2 linked regions of the Canis lupus familiaris genome follow. The protein of the gene in region 1 binds, or shares a complex with, the protein of each later gene. Links are inferred from orthologs where the notes say so. Each region holds a gene or a part of one and is shown in the gene's direction. Other genes may lie near its edges.

Region 1 (5,983 bases):
TCAATTTTCTATTAAATGTTAGATATTAGTATTAAGGTTAGTAGGTATTTAATGGATAGCAGTTTAGGACTCCACTGGATAAGGGAAATAATCATTACAACATATGGCTAGTTTGTATTCTTTATCATCAAAATGGATGTTTTACTCTAGAGCAGGTATCGGCAAACTTTCCTAAAAGGAAATCTAGTAAATATTTTAGTTTTATTCTCTGCCGTAACTGCTCATCTCTGCCATTGAAGCATGGAAACATCGATAAGAATTCTTAAGGGTGGATATGGCTGTATTTCAGTAAACTTTCATTATAAAAGAAGGTGACTGCCCTGCAGGCCGTATTTGCCAACACCAGCTCTGGGGCAATCACCCATTCATTCACCATTTATTGAGTAGGTACTCTGTGCTAGATCTCATGATAGTAGTAGGGATGATAGCTAGTACAGTGGGAGAGACAGAGACAATATATTTGTATAGATACACAAATAATTCTACAGTTTCAAGTTGGATTAGGTGCTGTAAAGAAAAAACTGCTGTCTGAGGCATGGGGAGATTTAGATGAGGTTGTGAGGAAATGTTCCACTTTAGAGGCAATATTTGAACAGGCAGCTTAACACCAGGTAGCTGAGAAGTTTAAAGGAAGTTTGCATCAAGTAGAAGCAGTTTCACATGGGAGGGTGCTTATTCTGGTGAAGGAGTGAGAAGGGCAGTATGGCCCGAATATAGGGATCTAAGGGGCTGTTTCTCTTGATTTCAAGCTGTGGAGGTAGGCAGGCCAGGAAGTGAGAACCCTGTAAGGCATATGAAGGACTCATTTAGTTCTAAGTGAAATGAGAAACTCACAAGGTCTTGAGCAAGGAAATAACATGATCTGACTTAAGTTTTAAAAGAAAAAATAACTTTTCAGCTTTTCTTATTTTTTAAATACTGATTATTGACTAGGTAATGTTAGCTATTCTTCACACAAATGATCTTTAACATAGGATTATTCTGATTTTACAGATAACGAAGATGAAGTTTAGAGTTAAGTAAATTGGGTAAGGCCACATAACAGTAGTAGATGCCTCCATACATCACAAGTAGAAAGTTAGTAATAGAAACTTTTAGAGAGAATGGCCCAGTAAGAGGGATACAGGTGAGTGTGGTGTCACCAAAACCAAAAGAAACATTTTTTAAGAAGGAAAGCCCGAGGGGATTCCTGGGTGGCTCAGCGGTTGAGTGTCTGCCTTTGGCTCAGGGCAAGATCCTGGCTGGGATCCTGGATGGAGTCCCACACTGGGCTCCTTGCAGGGAGCCTGCTTCTCCCTTTGCCCGCCGCCCCCCCCCCCCCCCCCCAGTGTCTCTCATGAATAAATAAATAAAATCTTTAAAAAAAAAATTTAAAAAGATGGAAGGATTGGTCAGTTCTAAGGTAGCTAAAGAACTCATGCAGGTATGTATAAGACTGTGTTCTTTAACATGATAATTATGCAGGTATATACTATAATAGAGTTGTTTAGCAAATGATGAGTCTTTATCTTTGCAGTGGAGAGTGAAGCCAAAGTAAAAACCAGAGTTCGCTTTGAAGAATTGCTTAAGACCCACCATGATCTCATTCAGGAAAGAAAAAAACTGAAGAAAAAAATCGGCAAATCTGGAGAAAAAATTGCAGTGAGTAGTTGATCATTTGATAATGATGACTTACATATCTGCATGAAATTATGACTTTTATATTAAACCTCTGAGGAACTTTGGAAATTGATAAATCTATCTCATGGTCGATAACACATGGTAAAATAAAGCTTATGTTAGAATCCACATGACTCTTAGGGCACTGAGTTCAGTTTTCAGTGGTGATCCTACAGGAATAACATATACAAACTGATGAGAGTGGTGAGAGAATGGGCAAACTCAACTAGGCCAACATGTTACTCATTTTTAAAGAAAATTAAGATTTTCAACCCAGAATTGTGATGAATTTAGGGAATAATATCTTAAGATATTCAGTGGCTTATCTTTATTTAGACTTACTCATCTGAGTCTACTCAGCAGAACCAGGAGAAATCAGTGAAATCTTAAGGCAATAATTATCCTTTTATACTTGAGACACACTTTCAAATGATAGACTTTTTGGCAGCACACTTGAAGATTTAAAAATGCAGAACTCAGAGCAGTACTAAACAAATCAGCAATTGACTACATCCTGATTCCAGAGTATTATAGAAAGTATGTAATGGTATCCACAATGTACTTTTCACACCTGTTTCACTGTATTACTTGAAACTTGTACTCCTTTGACCATAATCTGTTATACACACACACACACAACAGGCACAAATAATTTCATGCATGCTCTGGTAATTAGTGCATGGTATTTCTTTGGCAAGAGTTTTATGACTTATTTATAACTTATATTTTACTTGTAACAAATTTTACACTGTTCTGAATTTTGCCATGTGACCTCTTCTAATATTCTTCCTGGCAGCCATCAACATGATAGTACATATTCTAAGCGAGGCAAAAATAAGTACTAACATTGGCCAGAATCCAGCTGCACACACGTGAGAAGGTCACAGTACAGCTGTTTACTATGGCATACCAATTTAGAACTACAGACGGAATGGAGCAGATTAGGTTTCCCATAGTAGATGCTGCCCTTTTATAGAATGTGCTTCTTTTGGTGGTATCAGTGTGAGTATGGTGGCAGATGGTGGATGAAACATTGCATATTAGTTTCTGCCCTCCCTTTTGGTAAGGTGGTATACATTAGACAAAATCAGAAAGAACCCTGGAAACAGTTGAGGATATTTTTATGGACTCAAAGTAGAACCTCATATTTTCTCTTACTGTTAGCACTGGGCTTTGTGAGTTTAGGCCAGGAATGCTCAATTAAATGGATAACCAAAAACTGGGCAGGAGAGCCAGCCATTTACCTATTGTCCATTTTAGATGTTCAGAGTACACAAGTGTGAGGTGACTCGACATAATCTACCCAGACTTTTTAGGTACATAGCAGGCCATGCAAACTTTTTTTTTTTTTTTTAATTCAGGGATAAGTATCCTAGGAAAAATTATTGAGGAAGAGATTTTTCAGCTGAAAAGAAGGGAATGTTCCTGGAGGACTTGGAGAAACACAAAATATTTTTTAAATGATTTACTTTAAAAATTTGAGGAGGAATACCTGTTTTTATTTACTAGATAACAGTGCTTTCTATCTTTCAAGAATTTCTAAACATTGTATATACACTAATTTTTAATACAAACAACAAAATGATGAGGTTTTATCTCCATTTATAGTTGAGGAAACTGGATCACAAAGAGGTTGAATAACTTGCCTAAATTTGCATAGTTAGTGGCAGAACTAGAATTCAAACTCTTAACAGTTTGACTACAGAACTCACTCTCTTAACCACAACCCAGTAGGACCTCTTTGAATAACGTATGGAGAGATGGGACCTTTTCAGAACAAAAACACGTACAGACAGGCTGAGACTGGAAGAGAACCAGGCTGAAATAAGAAAAGGAAGCAAGGAAAAGGCTGTAATAACAGAACTCATAATAATGGCAGATCCACCTTATTGTTTTTCAGCAATCTGTTAGGCACTCTGATAAGAGTTTCCCAAGTGCTATTTCTGATTCTCATGTTAATCATGAAATGTAGGTTTTGGGGCTCTTATTTTGCATGAGAGGTTTTATAACCATCAGAACAGAAAAACCACTTAACAAAGATGTAGGTTTGCCAGAGCCATATAACCAGAAATAGAGTGGGATTTAAAACCACAGTCTCTCCATATTCTGCCTTTAGTTGCTTTTTAAAAACTATATCTTAGGCCTAAAATAGTAGAATTGGTTCCATGGAAAAATCTAATTAGTGGTAAGGAAGATAAATTTGAGGCATTCTTCATGAGAAAAAATGGCTAAAAATTAAACTGAAATAAGTAATGAGGACATATAGAAAGAAATACTTGACCTACATTTCCATATGGTGTTAATGGAGCAGAAACAGTAGAAGGAGCATGATTAGGATGTAGGAAGAGATGAGTCTATCTTGCATTTTAGGTAAAATTTATGAGATGAAAACTATATTTAGAATTTTTTAATTTCAAGAGAAAAATTAATTTTGCAAGTATCTCAACAGAAAAAGAAACACCTGGTACATTTCTGGCTTCTCTTAGGAAACCCTAAATCTAGATAAAGCAATATCTACATAATATTGAGGGAAAAAATTGTGTCACAAGAAATCTGGCCACCTAAGTGTCATTTGTTTGTGAGGTCAGTAGTGAACATGGAAATTAACAGAGAATTACTACAGGAGTTAAGAATACGATTGAAGGTGTATTATTTGAATATGTAGTATCATTTCCAGAAAGAGGAATCAAAATTAAGAATTTAAGAATAGAGAAATTATGATCTGAAAATACATTTGCAGAGTCTTTTGAGACCAGTTAAACATATAGAACTTTCTTTATTATTTTTGCCAAAAATAATTACTGAAGATTTATATTAGATAATGTACATATGATAATGTGAAATAACAGAAACATTGTTCTCAAACGTTGAGCAAAGGTTTCCTAGCTTGCAGAGAAAGTCCTATAACTAGTACTTTTACCTAAAGTGTAGTCAGAAGTTACTTCATCTTGGAGTTTAAAATAAGTGAAACAAATAATATGTAAAATAGATTATTATATTATTATTATGTTATTATACTATTATAATAATAGATATCATAATATAATAGATATTATATTATCAAAGTCATCAGAGGTCAAGAAAAAATAACAGATTTTTTTTAAAGAAACAAAAATAACGAAAGAAGAAATTTAAGAATAAACTCTTAGTGTTCCCTGGGTGGTTCACTCAGTTGAGTGTCCCAACTTTTGGCTTTGGCTCAGGTCATGATCTCAGGATCATGAGATGAGCCCCAGGTCAAACTCTGAGTCAGGCTCTCTGTTGGGTATGGAGCCTGGTTAAGATTCTCTCTCCCCTTCTGCCTGCCATCACCCCCCAACCCCCACACGCACACACATTCTCTCTCTCTCTTAAAAAAAAAAAAAGTAATTAAAAAAAATATTTTGGGGCACCTGAGTGCCTCAGTCAGTTAAGTGTCTGCTTTCAGCTCAGGTCATGATTCTGGGGTCCCAGGATTGAGCTCTGAGCTCTGCATGGGGCTCCCTACTCAGCAAGGAGTCTGCTTCTCCCTCTACCCTTCACCCTGTTTGTGCTCTCTCTTTCTTACTCTCTCAAATAAATCTTTTAAAAGAAAAAGAATATCTTAAAAATTGGCTATCATTCAACATCAGTAAATCAGTACAAATAAGTTGAATAAAAACCATATGATCGTATAAAAATAAGGAGAAAAGCCATAATATTTTATTTGGAAAAGGATATTAATGATTTTTGAAAAAAATAATTTGGTGTTCACATAAGTGGTAATTATGTACTCTCTGAGATATTATTGTAGATGATTTTGGGAGTTCCCAGAGTCCCCTTTGAGAAGAGAGGATAGTCCCTGGATGAACCTATAGACACTTCACCAACAAGTACTTCCTTTAAAATCAGGATCCATAAGGAAAGATCTCTTTTCACCCATAATTAATATTCTTGAAGTTTTAGTAAATATAATTAGACAAGAAATGTAAATAATGTTAGTGATTTTCTTCACCTGATATTTGTCCCTACTGCATGCCAGGGACTATGCCAAGTGCTCTGCATGTAAGAATCCTGTCATGGGGAGTACAGCTTGGAGAACTGGGGCACAGAGAGGTCAAGGAACTTACCAAGGATCTTATAACTAATAATAGTGAATCCAGATCCTTATAACTCCAGAGCTTTATTCATGACAGTTGATTGGTGCTGCTTCCCCGATATGCCAGTGGTAGCGTGAACAAATGTGTGACTCTTAGCTAGGGGGGTAAGTGCTTATTATTGATAGTCCAAATAGTAATGTTCTGAGAAAACCTGTGTGAATCAATTGAACGTGAACAAGGTTAAGTATACAAAAATCATCTGTTAA
Region 2 (5,983 bases), on another chromosome or scaffold:
TGTCATGAATAAATAAGTAAAATCTTAAAAAAAAAAAAAAAAAAGGAATGGGAAGGGCATGTCAGACAAGGTGGAGCCTGGGCAAAGGCTCAAGGGTGGTTGCAGCCTGGGACTGTCCCTTGGACTCCCACATCTCAGGCCCCAACCCTTCCACTGAACTCCGTGTCCCCATCCCCGGCTGTCTCTTAGACTCTACCCCAGGCACCCAGTGTCAGCATCCCTATTGGCTGCCCTTAGCTAGCCACCGCGGTGCCTCCCCCTCCACAATCCCTGTAAACAGAACCTGTGTGTGCTTCTTCCTACAGTTTCCTGAGTATGATGATCTCTACTGCAAGTACTGCTTTGTGTACGGCCAGGACTGGGCCCCCACGGCGGTAAGCTGGGCTCTTGGGCCTCCCTCCCTCACAGCCTCCATGCTTAATGGGGTTTCTGAAGGTGTCGATGTCCACCATACCCCTTCGTCTTCCAGTTCAGAAACTGTTGAGAGGTAGACACCGAGCTCAGGGGGTTCCAAACATGACTTTGTTCCTGGTAAAGCTGGAGCAGAGAAGGTGGAGCAGCCACCTTCAGGCTCCTGATCAAAGCTGCGGTCGCTCACACACCCTGTCCTGGGAACTTGCACTTGGCAGCAAAGAGGAACGTGTGGGCGGCACAGACCCCTGAGGGCCAGCCTGGAAGTATCTGGGCGGTAGGTCCTCTGTCCCTCTCCTAGCCCATGAGGAGGACTCTGGGAAGTCAAGAGGCCGAATAGAAGCTCTGCTTGCAAGACCGGCCTCAGAGCAATCTGTCTCCACAGACAGCCAGGCCAGAGTCCCAGTTTCGTGGGGCGAGGTAGACAATAAGTACTGATGTTCTAATATGTTCTAGGAAAAAGTGCCGGGGACAGAGTAAAGTCAGGAAGGGAGGAATGGAGGGTAGAGAGAAGCTGGAGTCTAGGTAAGGTGGCCAGGGAAGGCCTCCCTGAGATGGTAACTTTGGGTAAAGGGTGAAGGCAGGAAGGGAACAAGCCACACGGAGGTCCGTAGGGAGAACTGTGCAGGCAGAAAGGGCAGAGGTAAAAAACAACAACAACAACAACAACAAGAAAGGGCAGAGGTGCACAGGCCCTGAGGTGGGAACGTGCCTGGCGTGCCCAGCATGCCCAAGGCACAGGGAGGAGGCCTGTGTAGCCAGTGAAGAGCATGAGCAGGGATGAGAGTGGCTGGAGATGGAGCAGGGGGGTTGAGGATGGGACAGGCCTTGTAGGACACAGTGAGTCAGTAAAAGAACCACGGCCTCACTCAGACATGGGACCCCCTCAGAGAGTCTGGGACAGAGACAAAGTGACCCCCCTTGTGTGTTCCATAGCATCCTGGCTTCTGTGTTCAGAGTAGATGGGAAGCAAGGGCCAAAGCAGAGAGACCAAGGATTGATACCAGAAACAGAGGAGTGAAGACAGTGTGCAGACAAGGCGCAGCCATGGGTGGGGTGGGGGTGACAGGCAGTTGAATTTCCAGTATATTTTGAAGATGGAAACAACAGGGTTCCCTCCTGGACAGATGTGGGGTGTGAGAGAAAAGAGTTCAGAATAACACCAAGCTTTTTAGCCTGGGCACTTGGGATCGGAGCTGCCATTCGGTGAGAAGACTGGGTAGAGCAGTTATGGGAGAACTTTCCAGAGCTCAGCCTGGCATGTGTTGAGGTTGAGGTTTCCCCCCAGATACCCGGGGGGAGGTGCAGGGTCAGCAGTGGAGGTGGGGCCATGCTGCCCTGGAGGCCCGAGATGGGGACCAGACTGGGGATGCAGGTTTGGGAATCAGCCCCACGACGCTTCCACATGAAGGAGGAAGTGGTGACAGCAACATTGAGAGCCCCCACCCTCACCGCTGTGAGGAGGAAAGACCCAAAGTCAGACATATGGTGTCCCAGAATCCACCCAGGGGGAGTGCGTCAGAAAGCCACCAGCTGTGTCCAGTGCTGCTGTAGAGTCAGGTAAACTGAGGACAGAGAACTGTCCACAGAGAGAGCAACGTTGGGGTCACTGGTGCTGCTGGAGCCAGTGAGTATGGACGGCTTGATCAAGGAGTTTGCTCAGCAGGGGAGCTCCAACTGGGTTGGCGGGTGGAGGAAGAAGCCAAGTTGGCACAGTTTCTTGATAGAATCATAGGCACACAGGCTCCGATGTGAAGGGCTGGGGCTGGAAGAGGGAACAACCTGCCAGGGCCAGTTCCTCAGCTGAGGGGACGCCCAGTGAACTCGCGCCCAGGCAGCTCTCCAGGTTGTCTGGCTCCAAATAAAAGCTGGAGACACCTAGGAGCTGCTCCATTAGCTCTGAGTCCCCGTCATGCGGAAGACAGTGTGTTGCCAGAAGACAGGGAGAAAACCAGCCCTCCCACCTGGCCACCAAGGTAAGGGCAGGGGTGTGGCAGCTGGAGCGTCAGCAGCAGATGTCACAGTCACTGTCCTCACAGGGTCTGGAGGAGGGCATCTCACAGATCACATCCAAGAGCCAAGATGTGCGGCGAGCGCTGGTGTGGAACTTCCCCATCGATGTCACCTTTAAAAGCACCAACCCTTATGGCTGTGAGTCTGCAGGGCCTGCCCCCACCTCCCCCACCACCCCAGCAGGGACCGGGTCGGGGAGGTGCCCCCAGGGCCAGCTGGGCCTTATCCTGCCGCCACTGTCCGCTCTCAGCTCTTCTCTGCCCAATTCCTGGGCCCTTGTGTACCAGCATCATCATGTGCTCTCTTGCCACCTGGCCATTTCCTTCCATGTGTCCCCCCCCCACCCCAGCTCATGGACTGGTGGTGGAGCTGACCTTTAGGAAGCTCAGGGGGTGTCAGGTGAGGCTCCAGCCTCTGTGCTGGGGGAAGGCAGAGCCTGGGTTTGGGATGTTGTAGTCCAGCCGGCAGGCCTGACCCTGGTGGCCCTCAACCTGCCATTACGTGTTGTGCTCCAGCCAAACCAAAGCCACGTGCACCTCCTGTGCACACCCCTGAGCCGCCTCTCTGAGCTTTGGTTTGTGCTGTTCCCTCTGCCATCTCTGACCTCCTCCCCAGAACCCTCCTTGCTTGCAGTGTTTACTGTGTGTCTTGCCTGGTAGTTATTCACTCTTACTTAATAAGCGCCTACTGCATGTAAAGGCCTGGGTTAGCTCCAGAGGGGCTGTGAATACTCACCCCATGTGCTCTTATCCTAGCTTCCTAATCCTATGTGGTGGATAGATTGCTCTTGGTTTCTTTTTCCACATCAGGAAACTGATGCAAAAAAAGTGACATCACTTGCCTTTGGCCATCTATCTAGTAGCTGAGCATGGATTGGATTTCAGGTCCATCTGATTTCATAGTCTGGACCTTTCTGCGGCATGTAGTTTGGGGCCTAGGCTTACTGGGCGTGGGGGGTCTGGAACGGGCTGCCTGGAGGTCCTCCTGGGCTGAGACTGCCATCTTGTCATTATCCACAAGTCAGAATGCTTCCGTAGGTTTCCTGGAGCAGGACTAGATTATGGCCCAGTCTCCTGCTGCTGAGGAAGCCTAGGAGAGGCGAATATAGTATTAAAAAGTAAAAACACAGGCACCTGGATGGCTCAGTCAGTTAAGCATTTGCCTCCAGCTCAGGTCACGATCTCAGGATTCTGGGATTGAGCCCCACATTGGGCTCTCTGCTCAGCGGTGAGTCTGTTGCTTCCTCCTCCCCACCCTCTGTGATCTCTCTGGCTCTCACTCTTTCTCAAATAAATAAATAAAATATTCAAAAATAAAAAGTGAAAACAAACACAACTATTTGAAGGCATCAGAGAGCCAGCAAAGTATTGGAGATTTACCCAGCCAAGATCTAGGAGAAAACAGAAATCTAGAGATGTGATCTCACTCACATTGCCCCTTGGAGAATTAGCTGACTCCACCAGAGGTGATCCAGAGGTTGATCGAGGCTTTTGACAGCTGCTCTGGGCTCGAGGCACAAGAATCAGGAAAATGGTTCAAGACCTCGAAGTGCTTGCTGCACCCTGGGAGGAAGGGAGAAGTGGGAGCAGCCCAGCTCTGGATCATTCCAGACCTTGGAACATGGTTGCAAAACCCCCCAAACTAAATAATCATAAGCCACATCTAGCAGGGTGTAAAAGGGATGGAACAAGAATGGTTTATTCCAGAGGTACAAAGCTTATATAATATCTGAAATCAACCAACGTGATTCAGTGCTTTAAAAGAAGGCAAGTCATAATCATCCCCATAATGAAGCAACCATGATAAAACTCAACATCTATCCATGATAAACACTTAGAAAACTAGGAATAGAGGAAACTTTTTTATTTTTTAACTCAGGGCCTTATCTCATGACCCCAAGATCAAGACCTAAGCTGAGATTAAGAGTTGGACCCCAACCAACTGAGCCACCCAAGCACTCGTAGAAAGAGACTTTCTTAATTGGATAAAGACTGTCTACAAAAAACTTAGAGCAAACATCACCTTTTCTAAGTGAAATGGTGAAAGATTTCCTTGTTGCCACCACCACAAACAAAAGCATAGGAATTAGGAAGAATAAAACTGTTGCTTTTCATAGGTGGCATTATGTGTGTCGAATTTGCAGAATAACCTACAGATAAGTTACTAGAAATAATAAATTGGCATGAATGCCCGATATGAAATAGTAAAAAACCAGTGGCTTTTTGTATAAAAATGAATAGGATATGTATTCTCTTGTCCATAAAAAGTGATTCAAAATGGTATTTTATTTTTAAGATTTCATTTATTTGAGAGAGAGCACGAGTAGGGTGAGGGGCAGAGGGAGAAGCAGGCTCCCTGCTGAGCAGGGACTGCCCCCAGGTGCCCCTAAAAGTGATATTTTAAAAAGAAATTCTTCACAATAATATCAAAATGTAACATGTACTACATATTGAACTTCAGATGAGTTATAAAGCAGAATAACGAAGACAATGTAGTTTAGGCCCAAGGATAGGCAAATGATCCAAAGAGAGCTCTGAGCCAGACCTAAGCCTGTGTAGACAGGTGATTCCTGAGAAAGGGCACTGGGAGGCATGAAGGGAAAGCGGATCCTGTTGATAAACGGTGCTGGGACCACGGGATATGCACAGGACGTGAAACCCTGTGCCCTGCTTTGTACCATACATCCACCAAAGTCAGTTCCAGGTGGATGGCAGGAAAACTTTAGGAAGAGAGCATAGAACACTAGAGCCATGATATCAAGTAAGGGATGACTTTTTTTTTTTTTTTTTGTTGAGAGAGCAGAAGAGCAGAGGGAGAGGGACAAGCAGAGTCAGTGCTAAGTGCAGAGCCAGATATGGGGCTCAATCCCAGGACCCTGAGATCATGACCTGAGCCAAAGGCAGACACTTAACTGACTGAGCCCACCCAGGCGCCCCCTGAGCCCTTTGGGAGACAGCTCCATGTTCTGTTTTCAGACCGAATGTATGCATACCCTGTGTGGATAGGCATGCCCAGCAGAAACGTGCACACATGGGGCAAGAGCTTCAGCAGAGTGGCAGAGAGCTCATAGTCTCACCATCCGGGGGCCCCCCAAGGAGAAACTACCCACATGTCCATCGGCACAGGAGTGAACCATGTCCTCGTGGTCTGTCCATAGCTAGCATGTTCTCTAGCACTGAAAAAAAAGTGACATCTCATACACAACACAATTCGAATGAATCTCCCAAACATTGAACTAAAGAAGCTGGATACCAGTACACAGACTGTATGATTCCATCTGTATAAAGTTTTTTTTTTTTTTTCAATAGGTAAAACCAGAGCACCTAGGTGGCTCATTAGCTTAAGTGTCTGCTGTCATGATCTCAGGGTCCTGAGACCAAGCCCCGCATTGGGCTCCACAATCAGTGTGGGGTCTGCTTGGGATTCTCTCCCTCTGCCCTTCCCCCTGCTAGCTCACTTGCTCTTTCTCACTCTCAAAATTAAATACATAAAATCTTTCCTTTAAAAAGGATAAAACCAAATCTGTGTTTGGGATGCATTCTTTGGCAGGGAAGCGTTA

Evidence for each region. Proteins that work in one complex are often made in the same cells at the same time.
Region 2: AHI1 (region 1) and B9D1 share a complex: the UniProt entries of both Homo sapiens proteins name them as parts of the tectonic-like complex. The link is inferred for Canis lupus familiaris from reciprocal best matches to the Homo sapiens genes AHI1 and B9D1.

The regions. Positions count from the first base shown.
Region 1 is NC_049222.1:28,420,274-28,426,256, reverse strand, and holds part of AHI1 (jouberin), read left to right. Parts: intron 1-1,516; coding exon 1,517-1,641; intron 1,642-5,983. UniProt on the Homo sapiens protein: Involved in vesicle trafficking and required for ciliogenesis, formation of primary non-motile cilium, and recruitment of RAB8A to the basal body of primary cilium.
Region 2 is NC_049226.1:41,070,485-41,076,467, forward strand, and holds part of B9D1 (B9 domain-containing protein 1), read left to right. Parts: intron 1-305; coding exon 306-374; intron 375-2,450; coding exon 2,451-2,562; intron 2,563-5,983. UniProt on the Homo sapiens protein: Component of the tectonic-like complex, a complex localized at the transition zone of primary cilia and acting as a barrier that prevents diffusion of transmembrane proteins between the cilia and plasma membranes.